Cricetulus griseus: one gene and its partners. The protein of the gene in region 4 interacts with the protein of the main gene of each other region in a pairwise test. Links are inferred from orthologs where the notes say so. Each region holds a gene or a part of one and is shown on either strand. Other genes may lie near its edges.

Evidence for each region. The genes of interacting proteins can lie anywhere in the genome.
Region 1: the proteins of Efemp2 (region 4) and nuclear fragile X mental retardation-interacting protein 2 interact in binary tests that used the Homo sapiens proteins (3 or more experiments, as listed by UniProt). The two-hybrid records come from large-scale screens. The link is inferred for Cricetulus griseus from reciprocal best matches to the Homo sapiens genes EFEMP2 and NUFIP2.
Region 2: the proteins of Efemp2 (region 4) and Stk16 interact in binary tests that used the Homo sapiens proteins (3 or more experiments, as listed by UniProt). The two-hybrid records come from large-scale screens. The link is inferred for Cricetulus griseus from reciprocal best matches to the Homo sapiens genes EFEMP2 and STK16.
Region 3: the proteins of Efemp2 (region 4) and Ubqln1 interact in binary tests that used the Homo sapiens proteins (3 or more experiments, as listed by UniProt). The link is inferred for Cricetulus griseus from reciprocal best matches to the Homo sapiens genes EFEMP2 and UBQLN1.

The regions. Positions count from the first base shown.
Region 1 is NC_048600.1:91,081,928-91,085,898, forward strand, and holds the start of nuclear fragile X mental retardation-interacting protein 2, read left to right. Parts: upstream 1-1,171; 5' UTR 1,172-1,266; coding exon 1,267-1,573; intron 1,574-3,971. UniProt on the Homo sapiens protein: Binds RNA.
Region 2 is NC_048595.1:428,365,353-428,369,381, reverse strand, and holds the start of Stk16 (serine/threonine-protein kinase 16), read right to left. Parts: upstream 2,801-4,029; 5' UTR 2,610-2,800; intron 2,423-2,609; 5' UTR 2,334-2,422; coding exon 2,248-2,333; intron 1,711-2,247; coding exon 1,491-1,710; intron 1,218-1,490; coding exon 1,084-1,217; intron 935-1,083; coding exon 814-934; intron 689-813; coding exon 593-688; intron 227-592; coding exon 105-226; intron 1-104. UniProt on the Homo sapiens protein: Membrane-associated protein kinase that phosphorylates on serine and threonine residues. In vitro substrates include DRG1, ENO1 and EIF4EBP1. Also autophosphorylates. May be involved in secretory vesicle trafficking or intracellular signaling.
Region 3 is NC_048596.1:277,235,694-277,239,777, reverse strand, and holds the start of Ubqln1 (ubiquilin-1), read left to right. Parts: upstream 1-1,284; coding exon 1,285-1,440; intron 1,441-4,084. Other genes in the region: translation initiation factor IF-2-like, read right to left, coding at 257-994, 1,038-1,286. UniProt on the Homo sapiens protein: Plays an important role in the regulation of different protein degradation mechanisms and pathways including ubiquitin-proteasome system (UPS), autophagy and endoplasmic reticulum-associated protein degradation (ERAD) pathway.
Region 4 is NC_048596.1:53,864,090-53,868,235, forward strand, and holds the start of Efemp2 (EGF-containing fibulin-like extracellular matrix protein 2 precursor), read right to left. Parts: upstream 2,801-4,146; 5' UTR 2,511-2,800; coding exon 2,400-2,510; intron 2,164-2,399; coding exon 2,115-2,163; intron 1,498-2,114; coding exon 1,291-1,497; intron 1-1,290. UniProt on the Homo sapiens protein: Plays a crucial role in elastic fiber formation in tissue, and in the formation of ultrastructural connections between elastic laminae and smooth muscle cells in the aorta, therefore participates in terminal differentiation and maturation of smooth muscle cell (SMC) and in the mechanical properties and wall integrity maintenance of the aorta.

The DNA.
Region 1 (3,971 bases), on a different chromosome or scaffold from region 4:
ATGTAGTTTTAAGAAATAGCATATTGGCTTGGTGTGGTGGTGTAGGACTTTAATCCCAACACTCAGAAGGCAGAGGCAGGGGGATCTCTTAGTTGGAGTTCCAAGTCAATCTGGGTTACACAGACTGTTTCAAAAACAAACCAATCCAAAACAAGCAAACAACCCCTCCTGCCAAGACCCACAAAAATATATTTTGAGGATATTCTGTGTCTGTCATCACAACCCTCTTCCTACTATGAGTTGAATTAACTGCATAGAATGCAAATACATCTTTAAATTGCAATGTTTTCTGTAAATGCAAAACAAAAAGATGTAAAAATTAAAATCGTAAGAACTTTTAAAGGTGTACTTTCTCCCTTCCTTCACTCTTAAAATTCTTAATCTAAAACCTATTTTGGTTTCATAGTTGACCTTACCTGTAGTGTTTAATTAAAACAATACAAAACAAAAAAACCCTTCAGTATATATTTTTCATCCATCCCTCTTTCTTGCCTTCAACTACAAAGAAACAATGATTTAAGCCCTTTGTGCCCTTTTAGAAAATTACACAGATACCCCATTGTGGAACCCTATAATCCCTCCGTGGAAAGGAAGAGATTAGCATATGAATACAAAGCAAAATGAATCCAGAATACAAAAACGATCTATCGAGTTGTGAAGGTTTTGTATTCTTAAAATTGAATTTATTTCCTCTTTTGTATTGCCCCTTTCGTGGCCTAAGGGTTAAGGAAATTGAGCTTCCCCCTCTGCTCTGGTTACCCGGAAAAGGATTTAAAAAAAAAGAATCCAAAACCACACACACACACACACACCCCAACAGATTCTAGGAGGTGCAAAACCAACAGATGGCTCCTAGCGCCAGTAATCGTCCGTGGAATCTGCTACACTCGAAATCAGCTTGCTTGCCTGTGAGGAGTGTAGAAAGTGCTGTTCGCTAACTGCGTGGTGAAGGAGAGAAAGCGATAGAAGAGAGAGCCATAATGCTGACGTTGAAGGCCCGGCCCTGTGAGGTTGCATAGGGTAAGTGGCGTTGGCCAGGCGGCGGCGGCGAAGGGGAAGGGAAGAGGATTTGGGCTAGGGGCGGGGCTTGACGCGCAGCGTGGCTCCTGATTGCTGGAGGGCTGCTGCCAATCTTCCAGATCCGCTCGCTTAACCAGTGCGCTGGCGAGACGCGCTCAGATATACTGAGCGAGCGCTGAGAAGCAGTCTCAGATCCTGACGGTGCAGCAGCCTGCAGCCTCAGCCAGGGAGTCCCAGCCGCTTTCAATGGAGGAGAAGCCCGGCCAGCCACAGCCTCAGCACCATCACAGCCACCACCATCCGCACCATCACCCCCAGCAGCAGCAGCAGCAGCAACAGCAGCAGCAGCAGCAGCAGCAGTCGTCGCATCACCATCACCATTATTATTTCTACAACCACAGCCACAACCACCACCACCACCACCATCACCAGCAGCCTCACCAGTACCTGCAGCATGGAGCCGAGGGCAGCCCCAAGGCCCAGCCCAAGCCGCTGAAACATGAGCAGAAACACACCCTTCAGCAGCACCAGGAAACGCCGAAGAAGAAAACAGGTCTGGGAGGGAGGGCGGTGGGGGAAGGGGGGCTGGGGCTGGGGGGCCGACGAGGGGATGGGGGTGGGGCTAGATGTGAAAAGCGCGGACCCGGCCGGGGTGTGCGTCCCGCGGGGCCTGGGATGCCCCCTTTCATTCTTCCCGGGCGCGGGCCGCGAGGTGGGGATTGCAGCGCCCTCTCCTTCCCTTCAGCATGGGAGAGGCCCAAGCAGGCCAGCGTGACCTTCCCCGGCCCCCGCCCCGGCTGGAGGCAGACCTCTCTCTACGGTCGGCTTTGGAAGTCCACAACCTTATTTTTTTTCCCCCCTCCTCTTCTACGGCCCCGGAGTTGCCGGAATGTGGGGGGCCCTAAGAAGGGATCAAACTCGGCCGCCCGCAAAAAAAAAAAAAAAAATTCCCTCGAGGTGTATGTAATTCCGGCGGGCCTAGTGAATCCCGGCTCGGGTGGTGTCGCGAGACCCTCTTGCAGGCAGCGAGGAGCCGGGCTGAGGGCTGAGTTGAGGAAGCGTCCTCCCTCACCCGCCACCCAAGCCCACCTGTGGCCCTGGGGTTTGCTGTCTGGGGGGGGCGGCTGGGACCCCTTCTCCCCTCGAGTCATTTCACCCCTAAACGCCCCTTCCGGGCGCCGGACCCTGCTGTCTCTCCTCGAGGCTTCTCCGGAGGCCGGCGCCCCTGGCCCGCTCTCAGAGCCGGCGAGGCTGGAATGTTCTCTCCTCCTCGCGGGGCCGCTTCCTGTCCGCCATGTTGGAAGCCGATTCCTGTCACCGACTCGGGCCGGCTGAGGAGCGGAGGGGGGAAGGGTGCCCAAGGCCACACTGCACTCTGGGACCGAAGGCCCGGGACCCTCGGCGGCCATCGCCGGGTCCCCCGCACTGCGGGCGGCCGGCGCCCGCCGCCCCTCCCCCGCCTCGGTTTGGTGGCGGTTGGGTGGGGGAGGGAAGCGGCCACGAGGGGAGCGGCCTGCACCGTGGACCCGCGCGCCGACGGCCGCGTTTCCCGCTCCCGGGTGCGGCGGGAGGCGCGGGCGGCCCGGCCGGGCGGGGAGCCGGCCTAGAAGAGGAGCTTGAGGGGGAAGGAGGCCCGGGCGGCGGCCACGGCGTTCCGCTGGCCTTGGAGGGGCGAGGTGGGGGACTCATTTTCGGTAGAGGCGGTGCCTGAGGCCGGGTGGGGTACCCAGCGGGAACCAAGCTCCCGGGTCACGAGTTTCTCTGCCACAGGAATCTCATCTCCTGCCAGGTTCGCTCACGACTCCGCCTCAGCGGCTTTCACTTAGGCCTTTTTTCTTTCTAGCAGCGCCTTTCCTACCAAAAGAAGGGAAAACAACCTCTTAAACCTTGTTCCATCTGATTTCCACACAGCACCTAAACTTCTGGGCATGGGTAGTGGCTGCAGGGATTAGTCAAATACTTGATTTGGATGGACAACAGAGACAGTTTGGGTCCCCTATTATCTGGAAATGGCTTGTCCGTGAGGTTGGGTCAATACCATCTTACCTTGGACAATACTTTATGGTGATATTAAAGTGAAAGACATTTGCTGCATTTTAAAACCGATGTCGTTACCCAAACTGAATTTTATTTAACATGTTAAACGTAAAAGTCTTGAGGAAATACTTAAGAAATAAATGTCAAAATTTATATATTCGCAGATTAAAAGTTTATAAACTGAAGAGTAGTGAAGGGAATACTTGGAAGAAAAAATGTTAAACTCAGCATGTCATTTAAGCATTCAAGCAGTCACTGGTGAAAAACTTACTGTAGACAATGTAACTTTGAAGACAGATGCCGGATATCAGATTTTTTTTGTAAGGTGCAGTAGAAGTTAAGTGCTTAATTGTAAGGATCTAGAGCAGCCTAGAAAACTTAGGAATTATGTAACACTGCATTTTGGTTTTCAGAAAGTGGGGAAGTATTAAGGTTGTCAAATAATGGTACTTTTTAGATTTTAAATTTGTTTTATGAGGTTTATGTATTCCCCACAGGACTCATCATTTACAGTGATGCAGACCCTGAACCGTTGGAAGTGACACCCCTCAAAATATGTCTTAAGTTGGGATGAAGAATAAGGAGGGAAACTGTTGAGGGTTTGGGGGTGATCTGTCTTTCATGTATGTTTTGGTCACACAGTACTGTTGCTTCAATGGCTTTTTATGACCCATTACTCCCAAATCTTTGAGAAACTAGTTTTTTGAATCCAGAAGAGGGCACAAGAGAAGACAAAATGTGTTGAGTGGGTTGCAGTGGCAAATCCAAAGCTAGATTTGTCAGGACTCAAGTTTTGACTGAGTCCATTTGAAGTTGAGTTTGCATGGCAGCCCTAAATAAATGCTACAGATTTTTAATTTTTCAGGAATAACTACAGTCTTGACATTTTTCTTAAATGTTTAAGCTTTTAAAAA
Region 2 (4,029 bases), on a different chromosome or scaffold from region 4:
GGCAGAGGACTGGAGGAGGACGCCTAGACTAAGGTTGCTAAAATTCCAACTTGGCTGGCTCTAGGCAATAGTCTACAGTGCTTAGTGTCCCTCCTGCTGCTCACCTGGGGCTTTGTGGGATGCTGAGTTCATTCTGCACAGCAAGAGCCACACTGTCACCCTTCTGGAACACCATATCATAAGGGCCTTCCCCAAACATCATGGCATAAAGCACACAGCCTAGGGACTGAGCATAATTTGGTTAGTTTCTGGAAGAGGAAAAATGGTATCCCATTTATTGCTATGGTAAAAGGAGACCATTTAAGCTAAAAATATGCCAACCTCACCCAAAGGAACTGTGTTTGCAGGAGGCCTCTTCAGCCCCTGCTTAGCTATTGCCTCCAGCAGTTGACCCAGTTCAGCCACAGAGATGACACCACTTCCTGAGAACAGTATCACTGATGGTTCCCAGGAAGGAAGTGGAGAACTATGGAGACATACTGTGGTTCTGGGGTCCCATGCAACAGAAACCAAAGGTCCCCTTCCCTCTGCTCCATAGTGACTACAGAGCCACACCCTTCTCCACCCAAGTTCCTGCCCACGTGCTTCTCACCCAGACATCAGTCCGCTCATCGATGACACAGTGGCTCTGCACAGAAAAAAGCTCAGGTGCCCGGTAGGAGATGGTGCACCGCTGGGCTGCCCAGTCCTGGAACAGTGTCCCCAGAGCTCAAAAGTGGAGCACAAGCCATATCATGTGACCAAATCGGTGCATGCATCAGAATGAGTTGGGGATGGGGGGAAAATGACAAAGGAACCTGGAGACTCTCTTACCTGTAGAGCTAGGGCCTGGCGTGAGCCCTCCACCTGGATGCATGCTTGATTCATAGACCCCAAGTCCATTAAAACTGGCTGCCCCTCATCACCAAGCAAAATATTGGTGGGCTTCAGGTCCCTGGAGGGAAGTGAAAATGACCCGAGGGCATCCTGGACAGGGAAGCTGGGATCCCAGGGAGCACCATGGGAGAATGCAGACATATCCCAATTCTCTTGACACAGCTCATCGCCTGGGTGCCAATAAGTGCATAGGGCCCTCCCACTGACCTGTGCGCATAACCTTTGGCATGAATGGCCTCAAGGCCTCTGCAGATACCCAGCAACAACGGAAGGATTTGGTCTTCAGTCAGGAAGTTGCCTTGGTCCTTCAGTCTTTCTATCTCATTCCACAGTGTACCTCTCTACAACACAAATTTTCCTGTGCTGAGAAGTTTTTTAAAGTCCCTACTACCTGGGACTCATTTCTATTCTGTGTCAAGGTCGGATACTGGTCATCCAGGGCTCTGTGGGATGTCGAATTCATATTGGACCCATTGGTCCTATAAGCCCCAAATTTAAAATGGCCCAAACCAGGACATGTGATCCTATCGTGTTTATGTATGACTACCCACAGAGCCCTTGGGAGGACTGTGAAATCTATTACAATCCCCTCTGTAACCAGCAGCCTTTCTGACCTTGAAGAAGGGTAGCAGGAGCCAGGCTTCATGCTTAGCACCTCGTTCTTTCAAACAGTAAGCCACGAGGCGAAGGATGTTGGGATGGTGGAAGAGGCGATGCATGTCCGCCTCTCTCTGGGCCTCGTCCTGGTCCTGCTGCTCATGACACAGGATTCGCTTCAGGGCGTAGAAGTGTCCATCATGTAACCCCTCCACTAGGTCCACATAGCTGAACCCACTGTGGGCCAAAGGGGTCAGTGAAGGACCATGGTCATCTCCCACATGGCTTGGACCCAGAGGCATTCCCTTGGGGAGGGAATTTCTACTCCATGCCTCTCACATGGAGGAGAAACCCTCCCAAGATGTGGCTCTCATATAGCTTCAAGATTTAGGGTTTGAGCTCCTCAAGAGCAGGGACACAGAAATCATTGAGGTTCCATGGTCTGAGTACAAGACATTCAATTAATATCAAGTAGCAACAAACATCTATCAGGTGTTTATGAGCCAGTCACGGGGTGACATGTTTTAAAAAATATACTATCACAGTTCTCACCAGCCCCTCAATGAGAAATCTCTATTAAGCAGATAAAGAAACCATTTACTTAAGGTCACACAAGGTGGATCCAGAAGGCCAGGGTACAGATTCCACTTTCTTGACCCATTCAACTAAGTCGGGTGAGGTAGAATCTAAGGCTAATACTCTAGCGTCTCTATCACATGCTGACTATTGTCCCTAAATGACCTGGGACTAGCTAAGTGACTTCCAAACACTCACCCCTCCCCCAATTTCTGGATGAAGAGGTAACGCTTATTATCAATGATGACAGTTCCCCGGGAGCAGACACACAGTGCGTGGCCCATAACGTCTCAGTCATCCTCTTCAAGGATGGTCTTTCTTCCAGGGAGAGTGGGCTCTTCCAGGCAATGGGCTGGGGGCCCAGCGGAGCATGCTGGAATGAAAACAGCAGGTCGAGGGTCAAGAACAATCCTGAGAGCCACTGGGGTACCAATACGGAGAGCTCAGGTCCAGCTCCTGGAACCGAGATTCACGTCTTAAAGCAAACAGGCCCCGGCGACTCCAGCGCTAAGAAGGCTGAGTTCTGGCGCTTCAAAGCGTCAAGCCACGCTGCGTCTTACCAGGCCGCTTCTTTCAACCCCGGCACACCTTCGGCCAGGTCCCGCTCTCACGCCCGTCGGGCATGGGGTGGCTGCGCAGGAGGTGCGGGACTCGAGCCCACCTCTGGCTGATCCTACCCTCCGTCGCCCGGGACCGAGCCCAGGGTCTGCCAGTACAGAAGACTCTTCACTGATCAGGCTCGGGCCTGAGCAAAGGGCCAGGGACCGGAAGCCACGGTGACATCATCAGTCCGCGCCGAAGTAACGGCCCTCTGTATCCTAGCAACAAGAGGCAGCAAGAGGCTATGGGGACCCGGAAGTGAGAGGCAGGGGCCCGGCTGGGGGGTGGAATGGTTTCTGTATCTCGCTGAGGGTTCCCACTTGGCCTTCAGGAAGGGTCAAGACGCAGGGACTTGTACCAAAGGGGAGCAAAGCCGGGCTCTGCCTGAGGCCCCTAGGACCTCCGTCCCCCAATGTCGGAGGTAGGAGTCAGAAAGTGGCCTACTGCAGTCTAGCTTGGAGGAGGGCCCAGGGAGGGGTGGGTCCTGGCCCTTATAAGCCTGGACGTCTGATCCGGTTAACACTTTCAAGCCTCTAGCCTGTGTTCCATTGCCTTAGCTAGAGTCCGGAGTGCGCCTTTGAAACAGAGTGCCGGTTTCTAAATCTGGTCCTAATAGTCTCCTAGCTGCGTGACCTCCAGGAAGTGATTTAGCCTCTCAGGTCTTCACTCTTCCCACCTGTAAGACAGTAGTACCTAGGGCAATGTGTTGTGAATTGTGAGGCCAAACTGACTAGCTGCAATCCCAGTTCTATTGAACTAAATGTGACTTTGGACAGCCACTTAATTCATTTTCCTCATCTGTAAGATGAGAATGATAATTATTCCACGGGTTTTTTCAAGATTAAATGAAACATCGTTCATACAGTATCTGACACATAGCCTTCAAGGTGTGTTGCTAAACAGAAATTGTTGTATTTTCTACCCTGATTCTCACATCTACAGCTGTGAAGGCAGGAGACATGGAAAATTGGATTTCCAAGCCTTTGCATTACGCAGTTGTTTTCACATCTTTTGCCTAGATAGGCAGATATGTTGGGAAGGGGTGCACACTCAAGAGGGGGGGGGGCAAATAGACTCCTTGTAGCCCAGTTTTCCTTTTCCATAGTCATGATCACCATGAAGTTTTTTTTTTTTTTTTTTTTTTTACGTTTTTCACTGTTTCTGCACCTGTTTTTAGCCCTTCGTTCTGTTGCTACTTATATGGATTTAACCTGATATGTGCCAGATCCTTTGCTAGTCATAAAGATTCAAGACACAAGTCCTCAGAGAGTTCAGTATAGAAGAGCAAGGCACTTTATTAAAATATAGATTCTGATTCTATGGTCTTGGGTAGGACCCAGGACTCTGCATTTCTAACAAGCTCCCAGGTGCTGTTGATGA
Region 3 (4,084 bases), about 220 Mb from region 4:
CGTCTTGCAATTTACACCGCCGCCGCAACTCTGACCCAGATTTCAAAGGGCTCTGCTAAGACGTGTTTATGCAACAGCAGTTAATCACGGAAAAGGGTTCGATGGCCTAAGAGCAAAAATATGGGATGTCTTTGCGTATTTGGGTCACGGTGCTCTGTCAGCGCTCACCTTGGTGCAGCACCAGCTAGTGTGCCAAGTGCCACAATGTATCGCAAGTTATGGATGGCGTGGGGGTCACGGCTGAAACGGAAATAACTTAACTGGACCTACGTTCTCCACTGGGGTTACCCCGGAGGGCACCTCGGGCCTGGGGGGGGGGGGGCGCAGTAACTTTGGACCGCGTCCTGGAGGCGCACACGAGCCCCAGGCTGCAGCCCACCCGTGGAGCGGCCCGCCCTGGGCACCCGCGTCTGCCGCGCACAGCGTGGAAGGCGGAGCAGGGCGGCCGTGTGTCCGGCCTGGCTCCGGGGACGGGGCCGCGGCCTCCCTGCACCCACGCCTGCGGGCTGTGGGCCCCGCGCTGGCGCTGGCGCTGGCGCTGCCCCGCGTCCGTTCCCGTCTCCGCGCCCGCCCGCGGTGGCGCAGCTCCAGCGGGGCCCAGAGCCGGGCGGGCGGCCCCAGCCCCTTCCGCCCGGGCACACGCTGCGCTCCTCAGAACCAAGTGCCCGCGCGGGCCGCCGGCCACCGGGGCCGGGTCGGGGGACACCGGGAGCGCAGGCCCAGCGGGCCAGGCCGCTTCCAGCAAGTTCGCCGCCGGCCGTGACGTCATTTCAGGGCGCCGCGGCGGCGCCCCGCAGAGACCCCGGGGAGCGGCTCCCGACGCAGCGGGGGCGATGAAGCGAACCGAGTTAACTCGCTGTCCCCTTCCCCCTGCCGCCGCCGCGGCTGCCTTGGAGCCGGAGGAGCCCGCGCCCCTCGTCAGCCCGGCGGCGGCGCGCGGCGGCGGCAGGCGTGAGGCGGGCGAGGACTCGGCTTCCCGGCGTGCCCCGCGCCCCTGAGTCGGCGCGGCGGCCAGCGCGTTACCCAGCGTGCCCTGCGCGGCGCCGGCGACGGACGTGGGGGAGGTGCGGGAGGAGGAAGCGGCGGCGGCGGCGGCGGCGCGGCGACGCGGAGACGGCAGCCGAGCCATCGATCGCCCGCCCGGGCCCGCACCGCACCGCACCGCACCGCAGCCCGTGCCCGCGCGCCCTCGGCGGCCCCGCCGCAGCCCGTGCCCGCTCCGCTCCGCCGCGCCGCGCCGAGCCGGCCGCAGCCCGCAGGGTCCCGGTCGCCTGAGTCACCGCCATGGCCGAGAGCGCCGAGAGCGGCGGCCCCCCGGGCGCGCAGGACGCAGCCGCGGCCGACGGCGGCCCCGCGGAGCCCAAGATCATGAAGGTCACGGTGAAGACGCCCAAGGAGAAGGAGGAGTTCGCTGTGCCCGAGGACAGCTCGGTCCAGCAGGTGAGGCCCCGGGGCGCCGGGGCGCCGGGGCGGGGAGGGCGGCCGGGCCCGGCCCTGCGGGGCTCTGCGGGGCTCTGCGGGGCCGGGGGAGGGCGAGCGGCGGCCGCCGAGCTCCGGGCCTCGGCTCCTGACAAAGGAGCGGGCGGGCAGGGCGCGGGCGGCGCTCGCTCGGCCTCTGTGGCCCGGCTGGCGGGGCGGCGGGGCGGTGAGGTGAGGCGGGCGGGGCCCGGTGGGGGTCATTGTTTCACCTGCCGGCGAATCGCAGAGATTTGGGGGTGAGGAGCACGTGCAGGCTGCGTTCTGTGTTGTGTGTCCCCCCCACACCTTTCAGCCTTTTATTATATATACGCTATTATATATATACATATATATTTAAAATTGTGACGTGGAGATCGCTTTCAGTCAGCCTGGTGATAAGCTCACGCCCGAGGGAGAAAAGTCAAAGACTTTGATTCACGGACGACTCGCTGTTTCTGTCTCAATAACCTTCGTCATCGCCCAGCCGCTCGCCCGCTCGCCGGCTCGCCCGCCCGTCACGGGGCAGGTTATTGTTCGACTCCAGGGGGACGAGAGCCATACCTACCTGCCGGGGTGTTAGGTGGTTGCCGCCGGACGCAAGAAAACAGAATTGGTGTTAACGGGGAGTCTTACTAAACAAATAATCGCTTTAAATCCCGTTCAGGGAAAGCAAATTTTGCAGCTAATTAAGAGCCCCTGGTAAAAGTTAGCAGATTTATCTGTTTAGCACGTTCTAGAGCACTCGGATTGTTGACAGTCTCAACATCGTGGACGGTTTTGTGCGAGGACGCAATTAACAGGCACTGGAATGTGCCTTTAGGTTCTCTGAACGTTTATCTAGTTCCAAAGGTGAAGTCGTTTTTTTTTTTTTTTTTTGTTTTTGTTTTTTTTTTGTGAAACAGGAGGGTGTGTGGCATCAGCTGAGGGAACTACTGTTGACTGAATCACCATTCCTTGTTAACGCTGCTGTAAAAGGTTGAACGTCTTTGTGTTTTCCAGCATGTGTGTGCCTCACCCACGATTGACATTTTCCTGCACTTGCTGTGTTATGCGTCCCTTATTTCTAAAATACATTTTTAAGGTGTAAATACCGATATCGGTATCACCTTACAAGGCACGTAAGCCGTGTGCGTGTTAGTTAACTTGAAAACCACTGTTGTGGAAATTTATTCCACATAAATTTGATGTGCACGTGGGTGCCTTAGCCAGTTTTCACAAACCCATCTACACCTGTGCCAGCCAAGCACACAACTAGGTGTGGCCTGTTAGAGCTGACTTGAAAGCTTTTGTCTCACCTTCTCTTTAAAGAAGTCACTCTTTGTCACCCCCGTGGGGATTTTTTTTTCCCCCACCAGAGATTGATTTTGCCTGTCCAGAAGTTCACATACGCAGAGTTGTATATAATGAAATCTTTTGGGAAAGACTTTTTTTCTTTCCCTCTTCAGCATATTTTTGAGATTCATCCTTGTGAATGTTTGTACCCCTCCCACCCCAGATGTTTGCATACTAGGCACAGGCTCCACTCTACCACTGACCCATGTCCCCAGCTCAGTACCTAACTGCTCTGTGGTTTTCCATAGCATGCATATGCCACAATCTACTGTCCAGGGTCTTTCTCAATTGTAGTTGCTGTGAACAGTCGCATATAAATCATTTTGACAATATATGCCTTTATCTGCATTAGAATGCTTCTGTTTACTTTTTGAGTTTTGTTGTGGTGCTGTTTTGGTTTTTCAAGACAAGAGTTTCTCTGTGAAACAGCCTTGGGTGTCCTGGAACTCTATAGTCCAGCTCAGAGATCCACTTGCCTCTGCCTCCCTAGTGCTGGGATTAAAGGCCTGTGCCAGCATGCCCTGCTATTTTGTTTGTTTTATTTTGAGACAGTGTTTCATTATGTAGCCCCAGCTGTCCTGGAACTTGCTTTGTAGACCAGGCTGACTTGGATCTCACAAGTGCTGGGATGGATTGAGGGCTTGCGCCACCTCATCTGGCCAGTTCTGTTTAGTTTTATAAGACACAACCAACAGCATATGGGTGTGTATTTCTCTTGTTCTGTATCCTTGCTAATATTTGCTATGTACAAGGTTTTTTTGTTTGTTTGTTTTTATTTTTTATTGTAGCTGTTTAATGAATGTGTAGCGATAATAAATCATGAAGCTCTTGAGTCTAAGATTCCCAGCTTAAATTTCCATCCTGACAGCTTCCCCATTTTATTTCAGGACTTTAGAAATATAATAAATGAAAAAATTATTTATGTGAAGATTTGTAAGATTTTTTTTTAAAGAGTGACACTAAAGTTTTAAATTCCGTAGAAGTTTATATTTCACTATGCTGTAACTAAAAATGATTTAATGGGTAAAAGTAAAACCTTCCTAAAGTAACTTACTCTGATATTGCTTAATGTTTAAAGCTTTCTCTGTTTTCTGTGGAAACAGAAAATGTGATGAAAGTTGAAAGCTTACCCCTGTACCACAAACGGAAAACACATCAAACTGCTGAGTGAGTCAGGGGAGCAGACTTAGAAACATGTACAAAAAAAATATAAAACTATTTGTAGCACAAGACAAGGTCTACCATTTTGTAACTTAATTTTTCTTATAGAATTTAGTAGGTTTGATATTTACTA
Region 4 (4,146 bases):
AGGTGGCTCACACCAGACTTCATTCACATGGGCACATGGGTAGCTGGCACCAAAATATGAAGATAGGATATAGGTCCTCCCAACAGCACAAGAAAACAGTCCACCAGGAAAAGCACCCATTAGCTGAGCATATAAAACAAGGCCTTGTCAGGTCTGGTGGCACACACTTTTAATTCTAACACCCAGGAGGCAGAAGCAGGAGGATCCCTCTGAGTTCCAAGCCAGCCAGAGCTATAGAGTTCCAAGCCAGCTAGAACTGGCTTAAAAATAAATGAGGCGTTGTCCATTCACACCCTCAGCTGACTCTAGACCAGGATCTTCCCTCCTCCAAAGCCAGCGGTTTCCAAGGCCGAGACCTGATAAAGAGCTGGCAAGAGGCTGGGAGCAGAGCTCTAGCATGTCTGCACAGGAAGTGAGGGAGCTGCTGGGGACTTCCTGGGCCAGCAGACCATGCACCAGGCCTGCTGCAGGTGAGGGTTCAGATGTTTCTCTGAGGAGCCAGAGGCTTCTCTCAGCAAGGAAGGAACATGAGGTCTGCGGTATTTAGTGTGGAAAATTACTTTATTTATGTTAGTTACTGCTTTTGAGATAGGCTCTCATGTAGCTCAGGGTGGCCTCAAACTCCTTATGCAACTGAGGTAACCTTTAACTTCCAATCTTCTTTTCTCTACCTCCCTGGTGGTGGGATTACAAGTGTGTGCTGGGGATCAAACCCAGAGACTCTGTCTCAAAAAACAAAGTACACAGTCCTGCAGTGGTGGCACACACCTTTAGTCCCAGCACTCAGCACTAGGGAGTCAGAGGCAGGCAGATCTCTAAGTTCTAGGCCAACCTGGACTACAGAGTGAGTTCCAGGACAGCCAGGGCTACACAGAGAAATCCTATCTCGAAGAACAAGGTGCTAGGGAGGGACAATGAGAGAGAACAAATATGAAGTGTGTCAGGAGAATGATACCATGATTTTAAAAACTTTCACTTTGCTTCTTTTATTTATTTTTAAATTTACTTTTTTATTTTATGTGCATTGGTGTTTTGCCATGGGTACCAGGTCCCCTGAATTAGAATTACAGACAGTTGTGAGCCACCATGTGGTTGCTGGGAATTGAACCCAGGTCCTCTGGAAGAGCAGCCAGTGCTCTTTACCTCTAAGCCATCTCTCCAGCGCCCCCCTTTGTTTTCTTTTGGTTTTTACTTTTCTTTTTACTTTATACACTAAATACAAAATTAATTTTAAAAAGACATGTAAGAGGTCTGGAAGCATTGGTGCCAGCCAGCATGGCTCCCACTTACCCACACAGCTCTCCTGTTCATCAGGTTCATAGCCTGGTGGGCAAGGATTGGGGTGTTGAGCAGGGGGCACTGGTGGTGGAGGGCCTTCGCCATGTAGATCATTAATGACAGCCGCAGATCGAGGCAGACACAAATAGCCCCCATAGTGGTTGATGCATTTCATTTCGCCCTTGCAGGCCTCGGGGATGGTCAGGCACTCGTTGACATCTGCAGAAAGGGGCCTGCTGGGCACAGCCAGTCACCTGGGCTGGCCCTGGAGGTAGTGGGAGGCAGAATCCCAGCTTGGCCTTCTCTAAGCTGAGCAACAGAGCAAGGTTTTCTCTCTGCTCAGCAAATTAAGGCTGATGACCCAGAACCCCTCCCAGTGATTTGCAGGACTGGGGATAGGGCCACCTATTTTCGCCGTTGTCCCTATTCTCCTGCCTCCAAGTGAGTTTCCATTCCTCCTCAAAACCCTGCCTCTACCTCTGCCCCAGAGTAATTTGCAGGCCTCCAAACCCACAGAGTGTGTACTGCTCTCCCAGGTTGCACTGGGATAAAGAGCTGGGCTAGGAGAGTAGAGGGCAGTTGGCGGAAGGTGTGCAGATCTCCGTTTCTCTGGGCAGTCACCAGGTGCTCTCCTGTCTACTGCAAATAGAGGCAGAGTTCATTGCACTTCTTGAAGGGGTAGGACTCCTAATTGAGTGGCTGGCTTTGGCTCAGCCAAGCTGGACAGTGAAAAGGCCATTAGGTTCCTGCAGCTGGTCTAGGAGCCAGGTTATCCCTGGGAAACAATAGTTGCCTTCCCAGTTCCTGAAAATGGCTAGTATCCCAGGCATACTCACCCCGGCAGTGCTGGCTGTCTGCGTCCCACTCATAGCCATCTGTACATTCCTGGAAGGGGACCCCAAGTGGCCAGTGACCACTCTGGAAGTCTCCTCCAACTAGCCAGAACAAGGCCAGGGCCTGAGCTCAGTTATGCTCGGGTCAATTCACACAATGACTCCCAGTCTTCCACCAACCAAGCAGAGGAGAGTCTTCCCCAGGCACCCCAAGATCCTGGTCCTTCCCATCCCATCCCATCCCATCCCATCCCATCCCATCCCATCCCATCCCAAGCTGGTCCCCACCGTGTAGCTGTCCGGCTCTTCCGAATCCTGTGGAGACGCTGCTCCCAAGAGCAACAGCAGGAGCGCCCAGAGCAGTAAAGACCCGGGAAGGCAGGAGGCAAAAGGGAGCATCCTGGGGCTGGGAGGTAGTGGGCAGGGGTCAGGGGCCTCTGCCACGACACCCCCCATTCCCTGTATCAGGAAGGGGACACTGGATTCCCGGCTGTCTCAGAACTGTGCTGGGAGCACCGGAGCCTTCCAGAGTTGGGGGCCGAGTCCTTTCGCAGGCCTGGGGCTCGCAGGCCCGCAATCCCGGACCGCCCCGCCCCCGCCCCGCGAGTCGTGGAGCGCAGGCCTCTCGGCTTGGCGTAGCGCGGACCCGGCCGCGACACGGCCCGCGCCCTCCCTCCGCTGGCGGCCACTCACTCGTTGACTCCGGCAGTGCCTGCGGGCGGACGGACGGACCGGACCGCGCAGCTCGCTGGACGCGCGGCCCCAGGAAGCGCCCCCGCCCGCCCGCCCGCCCGCCCGCCCGCCCGCCGCGGCCCACCCCGGCGCCTCCGCCCGCCCTTCGGCGGATTCCTGAGCCCGCGCCAGGGGGAGGGACCCCGACCCCCCGGCTTCTCCACCCCGGGCCGGCCACAGGCCCCCACCCGGTCCCCCGCGGCGCCGCCTGGAGGCGCCTGCGGGCGCCCAGCCAGAGTTCCCTAACGCTTGGGTCCCGGGGCCACTGACCTTGATGTTTGGCCCCCAAATTCACCTGGGGACCCCGGGCCCTCATTCAAAATGTTGTCCTAGCCACCTAGACCCTATCCAACCTGGTCCTCTAGAATCCCTGAGTGTGCACTCGCACCTCAGCTGTAGCTAAACACCCAGACCCTGAATCTGCGCCTCTCAGAACCTACTCGCCACTTATTTTCTCAAACCTCCAAATCCTACTACTTGCAGAATTTTATCCTGTGCTCCCCACATCATCAGTTAGATGGTCTCAAACATTCATCCAAGGTTTCCGGACATAAAGTTAATTGTCCCTCTCCCTCCGGCCATGAGCTCCGCGGCCTCCAGGTGGTCGCTCTACTCAGGGCACTGCTTCCCCGGAGCCTGCCTGCACAAAGCTACGCTAATGTGGGGGTGAGGGCAGCTGTCGTCTTGGCCCGAAATGAATGGAACCCCCGAGAAACTGGCAAACTTGAACTTGGGCGCAGAGGACACTAGGGCCCACTGCCAGCCCTTTTCCGACCCTCTTTCCCTTCAGGTCCCCCACCCAGTTTCCGTCTTGGTCCCCAGCAAAGATCATGCCTTGAGGGAGGAGCCGGTGTGCCTCCGGCTCCCAGGAAGGGGCGAATGGGCGGGACTTCGCGTTGCCCACGTCTCAGGGCGGGACTAGACGGGAAAGGACTGCGTGTCCAGGGTTCCCTTGCCTGGCCCTTGCTGGTTACGGCAATAGCCTGACCTTCCTTTCCCTTACCCAACCTCTTTCCAGTCTTTCTTTCTTTGTTTTATCTTTTCGAGACAGGTTCTCACAAGTAGTTCTGGCTGTCCTGGAACTCACTATGTAGATCCACCTGCCTCTTGCCTCCCAGGTGCTGGGATGAAACGCGTGTGTCACCATGCCCAGCTCTGCCATGATTTAAAAAATGTATTTGCCTCATTTCAAGGACTTGTCTATATGTAGTATATCCCTGTGTGCCTACGTACCAGTGTAGGATATTGTGTCACTGAATCTAGAGTTCACTATTTCTGCCCGTCTCCACCTCCCAGGACCTCC